Rattus norvegicus: one gene and its partners. The protein of the gene in region 2 purifies or fractionates together with the protein of the main gene of each other region. This does not show direct contact. Links are inferred from orthologs where the notes say so. Each region holds a gene or a part of one and is shown on either strand. Other genes may lie near its edges. The genes, in order: Cdk20, Foxj1 and Fbxo11.

Evidence for each region.
Region 1: the proteins of Foxj1 (region 2) and Cdk20 purify together in Homo sapiens (affinity purification with mass spectrometry; 3 studies listed by BioGRID and IntAct, counting the BioPlex papers as one, with this or other methods). This does not show direct contact. The link is inferred for Rattus norvegicus from reciprocal best matches to the Homo sapiens genes FOXJ1 and CDK20.
Region 3: the proteins of Foxj1 (region 2) and Fbxo11 purify together in Homo sapiens (affinity purification with mass spectrometry; 3 studies listed by BioGRID and IntAct, counting the BioPlex papers as one, with this or other methods). This does not show direct contact. The link is inferred for Rattus norvegicus from reciprocal best matches to the Homo sapiens genes FOXJ1 and FBXO11.

What each region holds. Positions count from the first base shown.
Region 1 is NC_086035.1:705,338-712,363, reverse strand, and holds the end of Cdk20 (cyclin-dependent kinase 20), read left to right. Parts: intron 1-1,795; coding exon 1,796-1,984; intron 1,985-2,155; coding exon 2,156-2,277; intron 2,278-2,424; coding exon 2,425-2,487; intron 2,488-3,038; exon of another isoform or gene 3,039-3,052; coding exon 3,053-3,176; intron 3,177-3,514; coding exon 3,515-3,670; intron 3,671-4,435; coding exon 4,436-4,633; 3' UTR 4,634-5,501; downstream 5,502-7,026. UniProt on the Homo sapiens protein: Required for high-level Shh responses in the developing neural tube.
Region 2 is NC_086028.1:102,065,464-102,072,510, forward strand, and holds the start of Foxj1 (forkhead box protein J1), read right to left. Parts: upstream 3,779-7,047; 5' UTR 3,610-3,778; coding exon 3,112-3,609; intron 1,467-3,111; coding exon 699-1,466; 3' UTR 1-698. UniProt on the Homo sapiens protein: Transcription factor specifically required for the formation of motile cilia. Acts by activating transcription of genes that mediate assembly of motile cilia, such as CFAP157.
Region 3 is NC_086024.1:12,288,773-12,295,841, reverse strand, and holds the start of Fbxo11 (F-box only protein 11), read right to left. Parts: upstream 3,901-7,069; 5' UTR 3,900-3,900; coding exon of another isoform or gene 3,883-3,899; coding exon 3,775-3,882; intron 3,671-3,774; coding exon 3,589-3,670; intron 2,572-3,588; coding exon 2,427-2,571; intron 700-2,426; coding exon 570-699; intron 1-569. UniProt on the Homo sapiens protein: Substrate recognition component of a SCF (SKP1-CUL1-F-box protein) E3 ubiquitin-protein ligase complex which mediates the ubiquitination and subsequent proteasomal degradation of target proteins, such as DTL/CDT2, BCL6, SNAI1 and PRDM1/BLIMP1.

The DNA of each region.
Region 1 (7,026 bases), on a different chromosome or scaffold from region 2:
AATGATTATTACCAAAACCAAAACAAAACAAAACAAAAAAAAACCCCAAAAACTAAAAACCCAAAAACCTCAATAAGGTGGTTCTTTTCTTTTCTTTCTTTTTGGTTATTGTTGTTGAAAATAAAAGGGCTTTCCAGGCAGCTTGTGTGTGGGACAGGTGGTTCAAGATCCATAAGAATGGTTATGATGGGGTTGGGGATTTAGCTCAGTGGTAGAGCGCTTGCCTAGGAAGCGCAAGGCCTTGGGTTCGGTCCCCAGCTCCGAAAAATAGAACCAAAAAAAAAAAAAAAAAAAAAAGAATGGTTATGATTACCAGCTGACCAGAAGCTAATCATTTTTGCTGGTTAATTAATTTATATTTAACTTTATGTGTATGAACATTTTGCATGCTTGTATGTGTGTGCTTCATGCCCATCGAGGCCAGAAGAGGGCATCAAATTTCCTGGAACTTGAGTTACGGATGGTTGTGAGCCATTGAGTCAAAGTACTCTAACCACGGAACTGTGTCTCTAGTCCCAAGTTTTCATTTAAAAAAATACACTAGGGGGTGGGAAAATGGCTCAGTGGGCAGTGTCAATCCAGGTGAATGCCAGGTGGGTGTGATACCCCACCTGTGAGTCCAGGGCTTATAAGGTACTGGACAAGGGATCCCTGGAGCAAGCTGGCTAGTCAGATCAGTGTGTTGGTAAGGCCATGAATTCTATAGAGAGACATTACCTCAACATGTAATGTAGAGAACAGTTAAAGAGAAGACTTCTGACTTCAGCCATGGGTCTCCACATGCTCATGCACACATGTGAACACACAAATGCATGCAAACACACGGATGCATGTAAAAAATATGGAGTAGATTTGTCCCCAGTCTTTATATCTTCTTCACTAACTACCACTTCTTAGGCATCCCTTCGGGGGCTAGCATCCATATAGATTGCAGGAGCACAGGACAGAACAGGCATGTTCATCCTCTAAAGGATGTACTCTCCAGCTGGACATTGTGGTTTACACCTGTAATCCTGGTATTTAGGGAGTGGGGGCAGGAGGATGCAGAGTATTAGATCATCTTCTACATAGTGAGTTCAAGTCCCCACTGCTTCAAAAAAGACACTTATTTCTTGTCCCTCTAGCGATCTCTGTTAGCCCTTGGGTCTTGGACGTTCTGCTTTCCCTGCTCAGACCTCCTCCCCAGGCCTACCCCTGACCAAACCCCTTCTAAATAAAGTGTACACTCTTCCTTTGCTCTCTCACAGTCCCACCGCCCTCTGTTCCTAGTCCTTATATGTTCCTAAACATATTCTTTGTGGGCCATTTATTCCCTGTTTTCTAAGGTCCTCAGAGCCCTTGCATCCTAGCTCACTACCCGGTGCAGCCTGGGCCTTAAGACACCGGTAGCTACTGTGTGTGATGTGCCTACATTGTTTCAACACCAGGGGAGATGCGATTTCTGGTTATGTCTCCAGGTTGCCGGTTCCTGGTCCTAGAGATAATGAGTGACAGTTGGTACTTGGGCGTCCCTCTCCAGTTGATCTGCATGCGGGTAGGATGGGTTGAGCAGTGGGGTGCTTGCTGCTGCCCACCAAGTCACCTGATCTTTTTTCCTTATTAGCTGGAGAGTAGGGACCATCTTATCGCTGGATAGCAGAGCACTATCATAGTGGCCTGAGCTCTCTGGTTGTTTCTGTCTGGCCTGGTCTTCTGTCAGAGCCTGGGTTATTGGCGCTGTTGGTAGTGGGGTGGGAGCCAAGGAGGTCTGGAGGCCAGTTTAGATTCTAGAGGCTTATGGGATGTCTTTCCTCAGGTGGTACAGCTGAAGGCTGTGTTCCCACATGGTGCAGGCTTTGTGCTGGCTTTCGAGTTTATGCTGTCGGACCTGGCGGAGGTGGTGCGCCATGCCCAGAGGCCACTAGCCCCAGCACAGGTTAAGAGCTACCTGCAGATGCTGCTCAAAGGTGTTGCATTTTGCCATGCCAACAACATCGTGCATCGGGTTGGTACCAGTATGGGTTTTGTTGGGCCGGGGTGAGCTAGTCCTTGAAGAGGGTTCAGTCAGAGGGTCTTGAGATAGGGCTTTAAAGAGATGGGGGCCTGGCTGCCTATCTCCCTGTCCCCAAGCCCTGTCTAGGTACAGGGGGACTGATGCTCCTTTTTCTATGCACAGGACCTGAAGCCTGCCAACCTGCTCATCAGTGCCTCAGGCCAGCTCAAGATAGCTGACTTTGGACTGGCCCGGGTCTTCTCTCCAGATGGTGGTCGCCTCTACACACATCAGGTGGCCACCAGGTAGTGGAGCCATATCCCTGCCAGTCTTCTCACTGGGGAAGAGATACTTCTGCGCCTTTTGTTTGTTCCGGCGTGGGCTGTGAGGCTGGGATGAACTTTTTATCAGACCAACAATCCAGCTGTGGTCTCAAACCCTTTTCCCCACAGGTGGTACCGAGCTCCTGAGCTCCTGTACGGTGCTCGGCAGTATGACCAGGGTGTTGACCTATGGTGAGATACTTGGGGCAGACGAGGGTAATGTGGGCTGTGGGGATGTCCTCTCTGGTCAGAGCAGTCTGAGCATCGTGGGATCTGTGTTCTTCACCCTGATGCTTTTGAGTTGGTGTGGGGAGAGTTGGGAGAGTAGTCTCAGGTGAGAGGCTTCTGGGAATGGGGGTAAGGTAGTCTGAGGTACAAGGCGTGTAGTATGTTTTGGCATCTGACTCGAGGATTCTATAGCTGTGAGCTAGAGTGAAGCTTGGGTCCCTGAGTATGAGAGTTCAGCATTTCGGGAGAGTAGGGAGATGGTTTGTGGTGTCCAGAGGTCTGAGATTTGGGTTATTTTTCATATATGCCCAGCCCCCAAATCAAGGAGGAGCTGGGTGTCCCGGACATGAGGCTCTAAGGGTCTTGGAGCTGAAGGGGATACTCTGCTCTAGATGTCTGTGGAGGGGTAATACATGGCTGTACCTGAGACCTCTGGACCCTGACCCTGACCCGTGAGGAGTTAAAGCTTGTGTGGGTAGCTTGATTGCCCACATGTGACATCTCCAGCCGCTTAGATCTGTATCCACAGGGCTGTAGGCTGTATTATGGGAGAGCTGTTGAATGGATCCCCCCTATTCCCGGGAGAAAACGACATTGAACAACTGTGCTGTGTGCTTCGAATCCTGGGTACCCCGAGTCCTCGAGTCTGGCCGGTTAGTAGCAACCATTGCTGGGGAGGGGCCAGGTTTGCTCCATTCCCCAGTAGGAAGTGACTTATCCCTATGTAGGTGTCTTGGGCCCCACTCTCCCTTGACTAGTGAAGATCAATGTCTTGGCCTTGCAGGAGGGACAGGTTTTATCTGGGGTAGCATTTCAGTAAGCTGGGCAAGGAGCAGGCCTCAGAGAGCGGGAGGAGCTGAAGGAGAGCATGCGTGGGTGGTGATGGACTCTGGGCTGAATGAAGAACTGAATACCTGATCCAGGTGGGAGAGCCGAATCAGGAGTGGTGGGTGGGGCTGTTCTCATTGCTTTTTTTCTCCTCTGGGCTCAGGAGATCACAGAGCTGCCTGACTACAACAAGATCTCCTTCAAGGAGCAGGCACCAGTGCCCCTGGAGGAGGTGCTGCCTGATGCCTCTCACCAGGCCCTGGACCTGCTGGGTCAGTTCCTCCTTTACCCTCCACGACAGCGTATTGCAGCCTCCCAGGTAGGGTTAAAGGTTATTGTTCCCAATACTCTGCTCCGTAGCCCTGGGACCCTGCCAAGTCAGTGACTCTTAGAAGCCGAGTAGGGTAGAAACCTTGGAGATGGGGTTTTGATGGGGTGCTCTCCAGGAAGCTTCAAGAGAGTAGGAGTCAGTACCCCTGTTCTCTGTCCAGCCCTCTCCCTTGTCATTGGTTCGTTCCTGCAGTTGCAGGTGTGAGTGTCGTCTCTTTCTCACCCTGACCGCTCTTGCTGTGTTCCTATTCCTGTTTGCTCCTCTCAAGCCCTAGGCTTTCCTTAGGGCTTGTGCTCCTGTGTCCCAGCTCTTCAGTTTGCAGCATCTCTCTAGCCTTCTTCAGCCTTTCTCCCCAGCTTTGTCCTGGGAGACGTGAACTAGTGTCTGTCCACTGCAGATAGGACACTGATAACAAATCTGACCTGAGCTGAGCTTTAGTTTCAGGTGCTTCCTGGGACTTGTGAGTTTTCAAGGAGCCTCCTGTTCAGAGGGAATGTTTCAACTGGGTGGGAATAGCTACACGACACGCTTTCTCTATTGCTGGGGACATACTGTGCATTTTGCCCCTTCTTTGGTTTATGTCCCCCACCCCTTCCTCTGTTGGCAAGACTCTTTTAGCTCACTGCCATTTCCTAGCTGTTGGGCCAGTGCTCCAGACATAGGCACACAGGCAAGTTTTGCTGAGTCAGTTGAATAATCCTGGGGACAGATAGTGACTGGATTTCTTCTATACCCCTTATTTGCTACCCGCAGGCCCTTCTGCATCAGTATTTCTTCACAGCTCCTCTGCCTGCCCATCCGTCTGAGCTGCCAATTCCTCAGCGCCCAGGGGGACCCACACCCAAGGCTCATCCAGGGCCCCCCCATGTCCATGACTTCCATGTGGATCGTCCTCTTGAGGAGTCACTGTTGAATCCAGAACTGATCCGGCCCTTCATCCCAGAGGGCTGAGATGCTGGTCCAGTCCTTCCTGCTCAACCCAGGTGCACCGAGACAGCTACTCTTCTGCCTCATCCTGATTGGCCCCCATGGCCTCCCCATGGCTATATGTACCACACCCGGTTCTGCTTCTTAGCGTGCTTGAGGGCTGGGCTCTGACAGGCAGAACCATGAAGATGTTCACCGCAGCAGAGAAAGAGACTCACAGCCCCCAGAAACTGCCATCTGTGTTCTTCTCTGGGGCCATCTCTCAGTGGTGCTACCTGGCCTTAGAGAGATTCTCAGGGTCTGTCTCCTCTTCAAGGACATTGATACTACAGCACCACCTCGGGGAAGCACAGAGAATAAGCTGTCTTCATATGGGGACACAGCTGGGAAGTCAGACATGCTTTGGCTTTGGCTTCACTGGGTCAGACTTTGAGATTCATATAAAAGCCCTGGGTGTTTCTGCCTGTATTTGCACCTTGTCTGTTGTTGTTAGGGAAAGGGCCTTAATTCGTAGGGGTCAGGTACCCAGATGGTGCCTCTAGTAAGGGCCATTTGGGTTCTGAGACTTCCTGTGCTCTTCATGGGACTTGAGAGCTCACATGGGAGTGAGGTCCAGAAGTTGAGGCCCAGCAATGGGCAGTGCAGTTCCCAAAGCACACTTTCCACATGTTGGGTGTTAGTCAGTGAGCCAGAGCCTGCTGTGCAGATTCGAAGCAGGCTTTCCTGGAATTCACTCGGTAAGTAGATTCCAGTGTGACTCAGCCAGCTTGATTTTTATTTCATAGGAATATATTAAGATGAGTCTAAAAGGCGGTTCTCTACTTCCCAGTGCTGCAACCCCGTAATACAGTTCTCCCCCCAACAATAAAATTATTTTTGTCATGCTTTGTAATTTTGTTACTGTCATGAATCATAGTGTAAATCTATGTGACATCAAGGGGGTTGAGACCCACAGCATGAGAACCACTGGTCTAGATCCCGTTATTTCGAGGAGTAAGAGGAGAGGGCAGAGAGAAGATGATGAAAGGGCTATTGGCTATTCAGACTTATGCAAGGTTATATAACAGCTAAGACAGGATACTGTTTCAGGGATGGATTAGATAGGATCTTAACTACCATTATTCAGACATGTGACAAAATATGCTAGTAGTTGTGATGTACACCTGTAATCCTAGCACTCGGGTCTGAGACAGGAGGGTTCCTAAGAGTGGAAGGTCATGCTAGGCTACTGTGTAAGTCCTGTCTCAAAAGAAAGTGTATGTGTATGTGTATGTGTGCATATATGTGCATGCATGCATATATGTGCATGCATGTATATAATATACACACAGGAGATATGTTATATTTTTCAAATGTTTGTTGTAGGCCTAACATGTATTGGTCACTCTGTGAGTCCTGGCAGCGCAGAGGTGACTAACAGGGCTGGCTCCTGGCCTCAATGCTTACAAGGAAGAGCACAGATGCTCTTTTCAGGAGTATGATGTCTCTGGTCACGTCTTTGCAGACTCTAGGACAGTTGAGCTCCATTAGTTTCTTGTAGCTCTTTATGTATGCACAGGTGGTAGCTTGTGTCTGGACAGACTGATAAAAAGGTAGTGCACTTGGTGATTTATAAACCAATGCCTTCAGTGATCTCTGCAAAACCTTTTTTAAAAACTCTGATAACCGGGCACACAGGAAACAGTGAAAGGAACAGAAAACATCTTTGGGTTTCCAGATGGTGGACTCAGCAGAGACAGTGCAGCTACCACACTTGGAACTTTGTAAACTAGTAAGGTAGAATAGAGCAGGCACCGTTGAAAACCTTGTAACACATAAAACAAAGCACAGACACACAGCACACAGGAGGATGGTTTTACACCACCCCAACCCCAGTTTGCCTTGTTCTTTTCAAGATGAGAAGATAAGGTTGGCTTTGAACTCCCTCTGTGGCTGAGATGACCTTGATATCTTGTCTCCATCTTTCAAATGCTGTATTACCAGCCTGTATCACCACCCTCATATCATAGTAGTAATTTAAATGCTAATTACTAGTAATTTAAATCTCTAGCTGGAACAAAGGTGGTTACTTATATTAGAAGGAAGTGAAATAGGTATTTTCTTTCATGGCTAAATTTTTTATTTTCATTCTTCCCCCCCCCCCCCCATCTTTATTAAATTGGGTATTTCTTATTTACATTTCAAATGTTATTCCCTTTCCCGGTTTCCGGGCAAACATCCCCCTAACCCCACCCTCTCCCCTTCTCTATGGGTGTTCCCTTCCCCATCCTTCCCCATTACCACCCTCCCCCCAACAATCACGTTCACTGGGGGTTCAGTCTTGGCAGGACCCAGGGCTTCCCCTTCCACTGGTGCTCTTACTAGGGTATTCATTGCTACCTACGAGGTTGGAGTCCAGGGTCAGTCCACGTATAGTC
Region 2 (7,047 bases):
AGCCCCAACTTCCTGTTGCTCTCACCCTCAAGTCAGACTCAAAAGCTTGCAGCCTCCCTTCACAGGCGTCGGGCCAGGAGAAGGCCCCAGAAGGCTTAGAGACCATCTCACCCCACCTTGCTGCCCCCACCTGGTTTCTGCCTCCTCTTTCTGTTCCCTTCCCCAGTCCCCTGCCCTCGCTGTCCCTGGCCAAGGCTGCCAGGGCCCCTGAGAGAACTCTGCCGGGAGGGGCCTCCTGGGGGTTAATTTGTTATCCTCTAACGAGCCATTTGTTGTACCTGGGAACTTTCTCTGGGTAGGGACCTGGAGAAGCAGCAGAAGTGGGTGAGGTGAAGCTTTGGTGAGGGCCCTGTTCAGTTCCTCCCAGGCCCGGTAGGTAGGACCCCTCCGGGCTTCGGCTCTCGGAGTACAGGGGGGCAGGCAGGGGCAGGGGTGCTTTTGCCAATTCTTGGGCTTGGGGGAACACGGGTGGATGAAACACTGTGTGTATGGGGGTTGCTGATGAGGGGGAGGCAGTCCCCAGTTCCCAGTTCTTCTGGGCTTGGATATGAGGACATCCCCAGCTGGCAGCAGTGTGGCCCTCCAGCGACCTGGCCCAGTCCCTGCCTGGGTGCTGGGATGTCCAAAGGGCCTGTCTTGGGAGGCAGTTCTGGGCCCTGACTTGAGCACTGTCCGGAGATGGGGTGGGGCCTGACCTTTTATAAGAAGGCTCCCACACTGGCCCAGTCCTGCAGGTCAGCGGCCAGGGTGGCATCCCCTGCTTCAAAGAGGGGTTCTGGGGGCAGGCAACCACTACTACTCTCGTCCCAGGGATGCTGGAGGAAGGACGTGGCCAGGAAGGTCTCATCAAAGTCCAGGCTGTCAGTAGCCTGCTCCACTGGAGGGCCCCAGGTAGCAGGACAGTTGATGTGGCGGCCATGGACTGTGAGATCCACCTCTCCGTGTGAGCTGGGGCTCAGCGGGGGGCTTAGTTCCAGACCCTCCAGTGAGCTCAGCTCCTCACCCAGTGCGCCAGCCTCGAAGATGGCCTCCCAGTCAAAGTTACCTTTGAGGGGTTCCAGCTCACCCTGCTCCTCCTGGGTCAGCAGCAAGGTGCTGGGAGGCCGCAGGACCTTGGCCACCCTCTTGGGCAGCGGCTGCTTTCGCTTATGCCCCAGCCTTCCCTCTCCTGTGCCCCAGCCTCCCTCCCCTGTGGCCTCCTCAAACTCCTGCAGTAGCTGCTGGGCCTCCCTGTTCACGGTCAGAGGCCCACCCCAGGGGGCAGTGCTGGGTTCCTGGGCGGCCTGCCGGGCAAAGGCAGGGTGGATGTGGACCGGGGGCAGCCTCCGCTTCTTGAAGGCCCCACTGAGCAGGCGTTCTGCATACTGGGGGTCGATGCGCCAGAAGCCCCCCTTGCCGGGCTCATCCTTCTCCCGAGGCACTTTGATGAAGCACTTGTTCAAGGACAGGTTGTGGCGGATGGAATTCTGGGTACAGCGAGAGAACAAGAGAAAAGGCATCGGGGTCAGGGGACCGGCAGTGAAGTGGCACCGGGTGCTCCTCCTGCATCCTCCCTGCAGACGGGGTGGGGGGGGGGAGGGGCGGATCAACCCGATGCCCTGACCAGGCAGCTGTAGCTCTGGGACTCTGGGACACCAGCCACAGGGTATGAGGAGCCCAGAGTGCTGGGGAGGGAGGGGGACAGGGAGGGGGCTTTTGTTCCCTGTTGCTGGGATATCTGCCTGCTCAGTCATCCGAGCTCCGAGCCACAGGGTGGCTCTCTGTACCACCCTCTCTGTCATCCTCCCTCCCTCTCTCCCTCCCTTACCCTGTTGCTTGCAGGTCCTGGCCAAAGCCCTTAGCTCCCCCACGGCCTGGACTGCCATCTCCTTTGCCTGGCTGGTTCCCTCTGTTTGTGAAGTGGGTGGGTTAAGGGAGGGGGCTGGGTGACCAAGGAGTGTGTGTGTGTGTGTGTGTTGGGGGGAGATTTAGTGACTCCTTGTTTGTTGAGCCAGCTGCTGGCCTAGGCCTTCAACCCTCTAACCTCCTCCCCCCAACACACACACAACCTTCTCCTCCCACCCAAACCTCAGTTGATTATTACCCAGCCAAGTGCAGAAGGCTCCTTTCTGGGACCCGAGTTGGCAAAGGCCTTGAGTAGGGGAAGATGGGGATCTTCTGACCCACGGTTAGGGCCCTTTTGGAATGGCTCAGGACTGTGATCCTGCTCCCTGCCCCTTGGCCGCCTTAGGGAAGAGTGCACAACCCCAGGCTTCATCTCTAGCACGTGGATCTTGATATCGGAGGATGGCCAAAGTGCTGTCTACTGAGCCTTATCTTACCCTATTCACGCCTGGCAGCTTAGTTCTGCTCACACCACTTTGGTGTCCGGGGGGCCCAGACTACGCTAGCAAGGCCGGGGAGTGGGTGCCCCTTTGGCTAACAGGGCTGGGGTGTTTACACGGCATTCTGGCCCGCTGGCTGCTCTGTGCCAGGTCCTGGAGACTTAGAACCCGAAGCCACCACTGCAGCTGCAGCAGCGCCCCTGTGGAAAGCACCAGGCTCAGGTAATTGCCCCCCTGGGGAGGCTGGCTGAGGAGGTGGGGGTAGAGGCAGGAAACTGGGGAGGAGTTGAGGTGGGAGGCTGGGTCAGTGGCTTTAGGATGACCTCATGACCCCTGCTCCTGGATCAGGTGATCAGTTGATCTTTGTAGCCGTAGGGCTCATCTCTGCCTTACTCTCTGTATCAAATGCAAAAGGTGGGGTGCAGAACCTGGCAGGGCGGCCGCCTGGCTTCCATTTCAGAGTCCAGTTCGGACAAATTCCTTGGGCGGAACACTGTTTAGGAATTCTTGGGACATGGGACATGAATGTGCTTTAGTGTTACATCCCACAAAAGGCTACACTGAGCCCTCCCGGTCCCTCTTCTCCTTAGAACTTCATCTGTACCTCCAGGGCCCTGGCGCCAAATAGAGCATTTCCAGTAGCTGGCAGGGTTCAGGCCTCAGGAGAGGCCTGACCTCACAGCCAGGTGCCTCTTTGGCCTTACAGATCTGGTATGCCTGTCTGGCTAAGTGCCAGAAGGAGGGCGTGAGGAGGGAGTGGCCACCACCCGCACCTCTTCTCCCCTACCTGCCAGGTGGGGTCAGCATGGCGGAAGTAGCAGAAGTTGTCCGTGATCCACTTGTAGATGGCCGACAGAGTGATCTTGGTGGCCTTGCTGGCTTGCATGGCCATGCAGATGAGAGTGGCATACGAGTAGGGCGGCTTCACATGTGGGTTGGTGGCATAGTCCACGTCGTCAGGGGGCGGGGCCTGCAGCCCTGGGGGCGCGCTTCGAGATGTGCACGACGATGTGGGCTTGCCGGGTGTGTGTGGCTGCCCAAGGCAGGCAGGGTCTGCCGCCAGCGGTGACCCGGGCGCCACCAAACCCGGTACTTGGTGGTAGCCATGGGGGTCGGTGCCTCCCGGGGGAAGAGTGGGGGCCTTGGCGTTGAGAATGGAGAATTCCTGCAGCCATTGCAAGCTGGTCAGGCTGTCATCCAGGGCGTCCGGCTCCTCCATGCCACCTTCCGGCCCGGCCTCCTCCCCGGGCCCCGCTCCGCAGAGGCGCAGCCAGCTCTCCGCCATGTCTGCGGGGACTCTTCGAAGGGGCGGTCAACATCCACAGGCTGAGCCGGAGTGGCCCGCCGCGCTCTCCAGCCCGCTGGTGCCCCAGACTCCAGTTACTCAGTCTCCAGAACACTCACTTCCATTCTGCGACCCCGGGGGTCGCCTCCTCCGAACTCGAGTGTGGGGCCTGCGGGAGCACCACGGAACTGAGCACTCTTCCCCTAACCCCAGAGGAAAGAGGCGCCTTACGGGGTAGGCCCTCACATTCATCCACGCAGCCTGTGGAGAGGTCAGGTTAACACAGGACCCTGGTCTGAACCCGCGTCTCCACCTCTCTCCATCTGCCCTTGGAGGGTTCGTTGATCACAAAGAGGGAAGAGGGAAGGAAGGCCCGATCTAATTCTTTTTCCCAAAGAGTGAGAAACTAAGATCACACCCCAATAGTCCAGGGGGACAGTACGACGCGGATGGGGCAGAGTAGGTCATCTGATCCTTGAAAAGAGGTATTAGATGAAGGGTCCCGGGAAAGGAAGGTCACAGGACCGAGTTATGGAGGGGCAGGAAGCGATCTCCCGAACTCCTCAGATCTCATTTACTGGCCCCACTACTTCCGTGGGCGAGCGATGGACTGGATAGTCAGCAGGTCCCGGCGCCCTCCCATCCCGTGGTCCACAGCCCTCCTAGTCCCTTACCTGGCTCAGAGCGCAGCCGGCTAGAGGAAGGTTCTGGAAGAAGTTCCTCCCACCTCCCGCGGCTCTCTGTCCCCAGCTCGAGGGCTCTGCTGGCGCCCCTCGTCGCGCCCCCCCCCCCTCGCCCGACGGCGCTTCTCTGAGCGCCGACGGCCCGGGGACCGGCATTAAGTAGACGCTCCGAAGGCTTCTCCTGCTGCCATGGCGACGCCCCGCCCCCATAAACAGCTTCCGCTGCTGTCATTGGTCAACACGTCTCCAAGGAGACCGCGGGCCCTTGCAGCTCCTCTGGCGGCAACTCTCTGGAACTCTCTGGTTCTGCCGCCCTCTCCCGCGCCACCCAGCCCCCTACCCGCCACCGAGATCTGACCCTGTGCATTCCCGCCCGTGGGCCCCGCGCTGGGTATCACGGCGGGCGCTCGGCTCCCGCTCGAGGCCCCGGGAACCCCTCCCCCACGCCTACGGTTTGACCGCTGAGGGGACCCACCCTCGGATTCTGCAGACCAGGTCTCGGGGAAGCGTGCCCTTGGAGTCTTTCCCCTCACCGGGCTTCCAGTGGTCTTTGTGTGATTTCTGGGGCCTTTCTCTGGTCCCTGAGTGTCTTCTCTGGTGCCCACAGGCAAGTCTGACTCTCTGATGCCACCTGTCGCTTATAATCCGCAGAAATGGCCACACAGCTCGCAGACACATCGAGGCGGGTAGGGTAACCCAGCGTCTCCCGGTAAGCAGCTCACCCACTCACCCTGCTCAAGTTCCTGGAAGCTGGCATTCCAGGGGCATCTGCGAAGGTGCCTCTCCTTCCAGACAGCCTAGGAAGCAGCCAGTGGGTAAAAGCAGAAAAGCCACGGGCCTGCAAGATCCTCTCAAAGAGGCCATTTGTTCACTGATTTAGCCAGTAACTGGTTAAGGGACAGGAACTAATAAATATAAGGGCCTCTGGGCCTCGCTTCCCTTACTGCCATCAGCTTTGGGGCTCTTGAATTATTGACGAGCTGCAGGATTGGAAGTGATCCGGTTTAAGCCTGATGCAGAAGTAGGTAGGGCTTAGTCAGGAATGGAGCTGGGTGTGAGCCACTAACAGAAACGTTCACACACGAATTCACTTTGTAGTTAACGGCTCCCCTGCCCCTGTAAACAGTTTTATTTAATTTTAAGAATCATGCAGCAATCCATAAATATTGCATCTTGATGTCCCCACTGTAATGTGCCCACAAGTGTACTCCAGGGAGTGTGAGGGGTACACAGATGGCACACACACACACACACACACACACACACACACACCCCAGGTGTGCAGGCCCTAAAACAAAGTGAGCAACCAGCAGCCAACACCAGGTGGACAGGACTAGCTCCCCAGTGAGATGGCTTAGTGTTCAGGTTTGTGCCCGGCAGATGCCACAGCAGGTAAAAACTCTGGTGGGATGAAATTAGGTAAAGCAAAAGGCTCCTTGAGGAGACTGAGATCACTACAGTACCACGTATAGAAAGGTGTGGTGTGGTGAGGAGCCAAAGGCACCAAGAGAACGTGCTTGCCCTTTCGCTTGGACCCTGACAAAGGAACTGTTTCCAAATGGACTGGGTAGAGTGTGTCAGCTGATGGGGATCCACCCCGAGAATGGGCTATTTCTGCTCGCCAAGAAGTAAAAGGACAGAGTGAGGGGGCAGAGCTGTGCAAGGCAGAGCAAAGGGTACTCTAACCCGGGTGCCGGGATTATGGAATGAATTCGGGCGGAACACTTGTGTGGCAGAGGGAAGGGCTGATTATAATGGCTTTTTTGAGGGTCCCTGGCCACTGTTTACCTGCGTCTTCTTCATCTCAGCTTCTTCCACCACTCCTCCCGGGTCACACCACACACTGAATACCGCCTTCCTACTGCCCTCGAGGGGAGGAGGCAGCTCTATGTGCCACCATCCCAGGCTAAGGGAACTTCCCCGTTGCTTCTGCTCCCGGCTTTGAGGAAATGTAGGTATTGCTCAGCGTACACTGGTGTGAGTCTTAAGTGTGATAGGGGCTACTGGAATGTTGGGCAAGTAAAAAATAGGATGTAGCCTTTGAACGGGCGATGGGATCTCAAGCTCAGCCTATCACACTTGGGCAGCACAGCAGATTTCCCCCTAGCAGTGTGATTGCCACATAAAGGAGAGCTGTATAGTGGTGCAGGCTTGGAATTCTAATGCTTGGGCAATCCAGGCAGGGAAATCAGAAGTTCAAGGTCATCCTCAGCTACATAGCAGGTTTGAGACCGTGCTCTCCAACCCCATCTCCCCTCAGGGTCCTGGGCACAGGCGTTTGGGGGAAAGCCTTTCCAGGACCACACTAGCCAAGTCTAAAGCTCCTGGTATCTCACCCTAGGTACCTGTCACTAATCTTGATTCCCAAACATCTCATGTTCCCCTGAACAACTAATTCCCTGTCCCAAAAGACCAGTGGACAGGCATCTATCTCCTTTAGAGCCATGTAAAACCCACTGAACTGAGAAAGGTGTGACACCCAACAATTTCCTGCCAGTTTGCGGCTGTGGCTTTGAGTGCTGACTGGATGGCATCTCTCAGCACTGGTGAACCCATGGAGAGTCCGCACCTCTCATCTCCGATCTGAAAGGCAGGGGAGGAGTACACTAGGGTAGGGAGGTCTTCTAAGCCTCTGGTCCAGAGCCTTTGCCATTCCTTTGGTGTCCTGCGCAGCAGTTTGAGAACCACTGGGCATCAGCTCTTAGCCTCGTTCTTCAGCTCTTACGAAGTGGGCAGCGAAGCGCTTAGCTGGGTT
Region 3 (7,069 bases), on a different chromosome or scaffold from region 2:
GGGTGGGTCTTTTGTAGGCCAGCCAGGACTACACAGTGAGACCTTGTTTAAAAAGAAAAGAAAAAGGGTGGAATTTTTAAATTACTAAGACCTTTTACTTATGTACAAATTTCAACAGATCCAGTGGAATCATGGCCATCCACGCTACTGACGCTTCCTACATTTTCTTTTCTTTGCAGCAGTCGTCCATGTGACAGAGGCTGGCCTTCGGCTGTGATCTTCTGCCTGGGTGCTGTGTGCTGGGATTGCAGGTGTGTGCTGCTGTGCCCACAGCTAGTCTTCCATGCACTTGTTTACCTGACAAAGCTTTGAATTATGTGGCGTCGTGTGTGGGTTTGTGTACGAGTGCAGCTGGCCAAGCAGGCCGGAAGAGACAGGACACTGGATGCCCTGCAGCTGGAGTAACAGGAAGTTATCTATGAGCTACCTGTGGGTGCTGGGATCTAAACTCAGGTTCTTTAGAATAGTGCATGCTCTTAACCACTGAGCCATCTCCCTCTAGATGACTTTATTTTTTTAAAGAAATGTATCTACAAATACACAAGTCTGTATTTTTCTGTATTTCATACCAACTGTTGAAAACTCTCTTTCCATGGATTTGGATGTTCATATTCTTCTGGATTAATCTGGTAGAATTTACCAGGTTCAGGATGCATCATAGGCCGGGTATATTCAAATACTTCCATATATAATCGTTTCCTGAGGGGATAAACAAATTAAAGATATCCTTATAAAATATCCTCTAGATTAATAAAATATTAAATATATGTTAGCTGAATGACCAAAATTTCAATAAGGATAGCCAAATTAAATAAATATAGAAATTAATTAACTAATGTACCAGTCCCTGCAATGGTACTGGTGGTGCAGGGTCTTCTCTGTTGTCTAGGCTGGCTCTAAACTCTTAGACTCAGAGAGCCTCCTGCCTTACCTTCCCGAGTAGCTAGGAGCAGACATGTACCAGTAGGCAGACAAAATACTTTCTTTTTTTCCCCTTGCAGACAGGATCTCATTATGTAGTCTTGGCTGTCCTGGAACTCATTCTGTAGACCAAGCTAGCCTTGAAATAACAAGGATCCAACCACTTTCCTGTGCCTCCCAAGTACTGGGAGTAAAGGTGTGTGGCACTATACCCAGCTGTCGAAATATTTCTTAAAATGACTAATTTTAAAAAGGTGGGCAGTGGTGGCACATGTCTTTAATCCCAGCACTCAGAAGGCAGAGGCAGGCAGATCCAGACCCTAGGCCCACTACGTCTACAGAGTGAAGTTTCAGGACAGCCTGGGCTACACACAGAAAAACCCTGCCTCAAACAAACAATAAAAAGTTTAAAAGTTAAAAAGAAAAGTATGTGGTTTTTTTATAATTTATTTTATGTATGTGAGTACACTGTGGCTGTCCTCAGACACACCAGAAGAGGCATCAGATCCCATTACAGATTGTTGTGAGCCACCATGTGGTTGCTGGGAATTGAACTCAGGACCTCTAGAAGAGCAGTCAGTGCTCTTAACCACTGAGCCATCTCTCCAGCCAAGTATGTGTGTTTTGCCTGCATCTATATGCACTACATATGTGCTGTGCCTGCAGAGACTTGAAAAGATACTGGAACCCTACAACTGGTTGTCCTGAGAACAAACTGTGAGAACAGTGTTCTTAACCAGTGACCATCCTCTCCAGCCCAGAAACCAACTCTCACCACACACAGTGTGTGGTCTCACTCTGTAGCCCAGGCTGACCTGCAACTCTCTCTGTAGGCCAAGCTGGCTTTAAACTCTGCATCCCTCTGCTAGGGATGGATGATTCCAGGTGTGAGCTACCATATCCAACTAGCTCTGCTTTTAAACAGGAGGCGGCACTGCCTGGAGAAGCCTGTACTAACCCTTGCATCACCGGCCTCTTCTTTGGTAAAGTCACACCCATGCTCCTGGCACATCCTACTTCTGGGCATCTCTACACTGACACATTAAGTCTATACTGATGTGTTTGTTAAACCCAATGCTGCTTCATAAAAACAAAAACCAAATGTAAAAAGAAAATGAGTTGGGAGTGGTGACATACAATGGCATCCCAGGCTGAAACAGGAGGGCAGTGTAAGGGCAGCCTCAGCTACGTAGTCATTCTGCGGCCACCCTGTGCTGTAGAAGATTCTGTCTGCGGTACTCTACCCGACTCCATACATAAAGACTCCCTTCCAAATCACTTGCTTGTTATGAACTTGTAAACAAAGAAATAATTCCTGATTTATAATATTTCTTGGATCAACAAGTTCTCCACATTTACGATAACCAGGCAACAGAATTTATAAGCATTTTAATTTTCTTTTAATTACTTTGTTATAACTAGAAGCCCGCACGTCCACTTCCTTCCCTGGCAGTTTTGGCATCACACAGCATCCTTCAAGGTAACAAGGAGTAGGTTTCACTCACCACAAAATTGGATCATTAGCAAGTTCACTGAAGCGTTTACACACACAAGCAGCTCTACAAAGATCTTGTTCCAGCAAATAAGAGAATATTTTTAAAACTACTTCATCTGGTAGCTTCTCCTGAAGATACTGTTCAGCGGGTGCTGCTGAAAGAGATTAACAGAACATAACAAGTCATTTACCAGCAACGACTTCCTCACCAACAAACAGCATATGCCTTTACTGATATATTTCCTTTTTAAAAAAAAAAGATTTTATTTATTTTGTGTACATGAGTACACTGTAGCTGTCTTCAGACACAGCAGAAGAGGGCATCAGATCTCATTACAGATGGTTGTGAGCCACCGTGTGGTTGCTGGGAATTGAACTCAGGACCTCGGGAAGAGCAGTGTTCCTAACCACTGAGCCATCTTCCAGTCCTGTATTTCCCTTTTATCTTACATATATGTACATACAAGCATGTGCACACACGCATGCACAGTGTTAGCTGTTTTTGTTTGTTTTGTGTTTAGGCAGTCTTTCGAAGCTTCCTAGGTCGGTCTTAAATTCACTACTCTTTAACTTCATTTTCCAGCTCCCAGCCCTTTACCTCCCAAGTAGCTAGCTAGTGTTATGGCTACACCATAGCACTATTAAAAAAAACTTTTATATAAAAATAAGACAGGCTGGAGAGATAGCTCAACATTTAAGTTTGTACTGGTCTTGCAGAGGACCCATTTTTTGGTTCTCAGCACCTCTAACCTGAAGCTCACCACATCTGCAAATCCTGCTCCAGGAAATCGAATGCCCTCCTTCTAGCTATTTAGGTAAGTACAACAATCTCCTCACAGAAGCACACACACACATAACTAAAATTAAAGATACATTTTAAAAAACGTTAAAGAGGGAAGGATTAGGGTTCTGATGTATTTTTTAATAGTAACTACTCAATATATTCAAATAATATTTAATTTTCAGTTTCACTTACCGCCACCATCATCATCACCATCATCTCTATAAAGCCCTGTCTATCTGTCCCGATACTCTCTAGACCAGGATGACCTTGAACTCAGAAATCCCCTGCCTCTGCCTCCTGAATACCAGGATTGAAGGCATGTGTTACTATGCTAGGCTCAAACATGAACTTTTGAAACGCGTCTCACTTTACTTCCCTCTCGGAGTACCTGACAGATCTTGTGACTTCCCAGACACTCTTGCCCGCTTCGCTCGATGGCCGAAGTTTTCTGTAGTTGAAGTAGAGGCGCCCTTCAAAACCAAGAAGAAACTGTCAGTCAAGTATTCCCACTGTATATAATTCTCACAAATTTTGACCCATTCTTTCCTTACAAAAACAATTACAATTAAGTCACCTCCATGCTGTTCTTTGTAGGACACGCTGTTCTTTTTGGCAAAAGAGTTTTTCTACGAAGCTGGTATGGACTGTTTTGTGCACCAGGACCTGATTCTTCTGCAACCATATCTGCAGGAACATCATCTGTCAAAGATGAAAGAAAACGGTATCCATCTTTTTACTAAAATCTCAAATTCAGCAAGAGAAGGAACAACATAATTTTGTACGGAATTCCAGCCAACCGGATGACTATCTGACAGACATTCCATATCTTGTAGAGCTTGGAAAAAAGTTTAAGAAAAGAAAGGGGGTGTGGGAAGAGGTGAAGAGGTGTTGACGAGAAGAGCGGGTCAGAGCAGCTCAAGCTGAGCAGGCAGGCTGTCCCACTGCAAGGCCAAGTGGAGGGAGAGGGACGGCTCAGTTCTGTGTACCAGACAGCAGTCAGGGAAAAGTGAACGGGTAGAGGGTGGCCTGCCAGATGGTGCTAGAGATTTAGAGCATGAAAGAGATTCACAGCAGGGAGGGAAAGGGAGTGGCCTCGGGCAGAGCAGAAAGAGCCTCACACAGCTGAGGTGAGAGCAGAGACAGGTACACAACAGAGTAAAATGAGTCAGAAAGTACACAGGGCAATGGAACCTGGATTTCTGTTCAAGAAAACAGCTGTAAATTAAAAAAAAAAAAAAAAAGCACCAGTAAAACCTTTGCTGTTGAGCCTGGATTTAGAGGCATAAAGTGTGAAGTCCCAGCCATAGAAGGAACACAGGTGTGAACATTGAGATGTGCAGAACGGGTGCTCATCAGCAGAAGCTCTCCCCACATTTAACACAAGGCTTCCCAAAATAGTTGAGCATGGCTAGTAGTCGGATCTTGCTTTCTGAATAACATTTTCTATAAAAGGAAAGTTTCATACTTGTTGGAGAAATGGTGGTTCCCAGGGTAGTAGGGCAGGAAAGTACAAAATGAGCCTAGAATATCTTGGGGGCAGAAAAAAAAAAGGTGTGATTAATTGATCAATCGATCAATCGATCGGTAGGTAGGTGGGTAGGTAGGTAGATAGTGGATGATAGGTAGGTAGGTAGAGAGGGATGGATGGATGGAAGTGAGCTTAAAAAGGCAAAACTAAGCTAGTGCATCAAATAACAAGCCACAAACTGGCAAACTGTAACCCACTGGAAGTCAGGCAATTGTTATCTGCCCACAGATTAGGAGAACAATAAATGCCAACCCCGATAGGAGCTCATCGTTCACATCAATAATGACAGACTAAAACTGCACCACCCGACAGACAGCACAACAGAATTTCCACGAAATTCCTGACAAAGATGGAGAGCAATGAATCCATTATGAAGAATAGCAAAGCTGGAGAGCACAGCTGTTCTGTAACAGGACTTGACGAGATGAGCAAGACTACACACAACCTGTGGCTCCCGTGAGAACACTCCCGCCTTCAGCCACCCCAGTACATGAAATCTGGACACCAAGAGTAGAGCACAGGGTGTATTAGTGTTAACTTCACGGCTCTTTAGTTTGTAGGGGCATGCACTCATAGACTAGGGAGTAAAAAGGCATGTTAGCTTTTAAAGAGCTGGGGGCCTCTGCAGTTTGAATTTTAAAAATCTTGAAAATTTCGATAGTATAAATTCTTGAATCATAAACACCAACAGACAAAAGAAAAAGATGGTTAGGAAAAAAAGTGACTGTAATACATTAAAAAGGGGCAATCTGTTCACAAATCAATACATGACCAATAGCCTAGTTGTGGTGGTACATTAGATGTGGAAAGATAGTTCCAAACTAAAGAAATACAAATAAAAACTACAGTGTGATAATTTTTATCTACCATATTATGCAAGATGCAAAAGATTCTTTACACACGAGTGTTACCAAGAAGAGGAAAGAATGCCAGGAGTTTGTGGTCCATGCCTTTAGTCCCCACACTTGGGAGGTTGAGGCATCGAATCTCTGGGAGTTCCAGGCCAGCCTGGTCTATGGAGCAAGTTCCAGGACAGCCAGGGCTACACAGAGAAACCCTGTCTCAAAAAACCAGGAAAACACACACACACACACACACACACACAAAGGGAGCAAAAGGAGACAGGTTGTTCCGCTGCTCTCTGGAAGGCTGGGTGGCAAACTGCCTCTCAGTTGTCCCATTTCTGACAACTGATCCTGCACCTATGTAGAAATCAGTAGTACAGACCAAGATTGTCATTGCTGTAGCTGACCTACTACAGAACAATCACCAAAATCATCACTGTCAACCAACACAAGGACTGTTTTGTGGCAAGTAATTCTGTACAATGTGATGAAGAACTACTTCTTATACACAGGTTAGTAAACAAATCGGGGTTGAGAATTACAGCTTAGTAACAGTGCCTATATGTACAAGGCCCATACTGCAAAACACAGACAAGACAATCAATCATACAAATAAAAACTATACAAATCATACAGATAAAAACCAATATATATAAATGAAACTTGTTTAGGGGACACACACACTCTCCATAGTGAAGGGAATCAATTTGAAGCAGCTCTTTGTCTTGAGGATTTACTGCTGTGAACAGACATCATGACCAACTCTTTTTTTTTTTTTTAAGATTTATTTATTATGTATACAGCGTTGTGCCTGCATGTTACTTGTGCAGGCCAGAAGAGGGCACCAGATCCCATTACAGATGGTTGTGAGCCACCATGTGGTTGCTGGGAATTGAGCTCATGACCTCTGGATGAGCAGACAGTGCTCTTAGTGTCTGAGTCATCTCTCCAGCCCCATGACCAACTCTTTTTTGGGGGGTGGGGGGGTGGGGCTGAGGACCGAACCCAGGCCCTTGCGCTTGCTAAGCAAGCACTCTGCCACTGAGCTAAAACCCTAACCCAGCACCCCCCAACCCCACCACGACCAACTCTTAAAAAGACAACAGTTAATTGGGGCTGGCTCATAGGTTCAGTCCATTATCATCAAGGTGGGAGCACGGCAGTGCCCAGGCAGGCATGATATAGGAGGAGCTGAGAGTTCTACATGTTGCTCCAAAGGCAAGCAGGAGAAGGCAGCTTCCAGGCAGCTAAGACTAGGGGGTCTGAAAACCCACAGTCACAGTGGCACACCTACTCCAACCTCCTAATAGTGCCACTCCCTGGGCCACGCTTGTATAAACCATCACAGTCTTACTGGCTCACAAAGAGATGGGATCACTGGAGAGACGGCTCAGCGGATAAGAGCACTGGCTGCTCTTCCAGAGGACCAGGGTCAATTCCTAACATCTATGTACATGATGGTTCCCAGCGACAGCTCCAGATGATCTAACATCTTC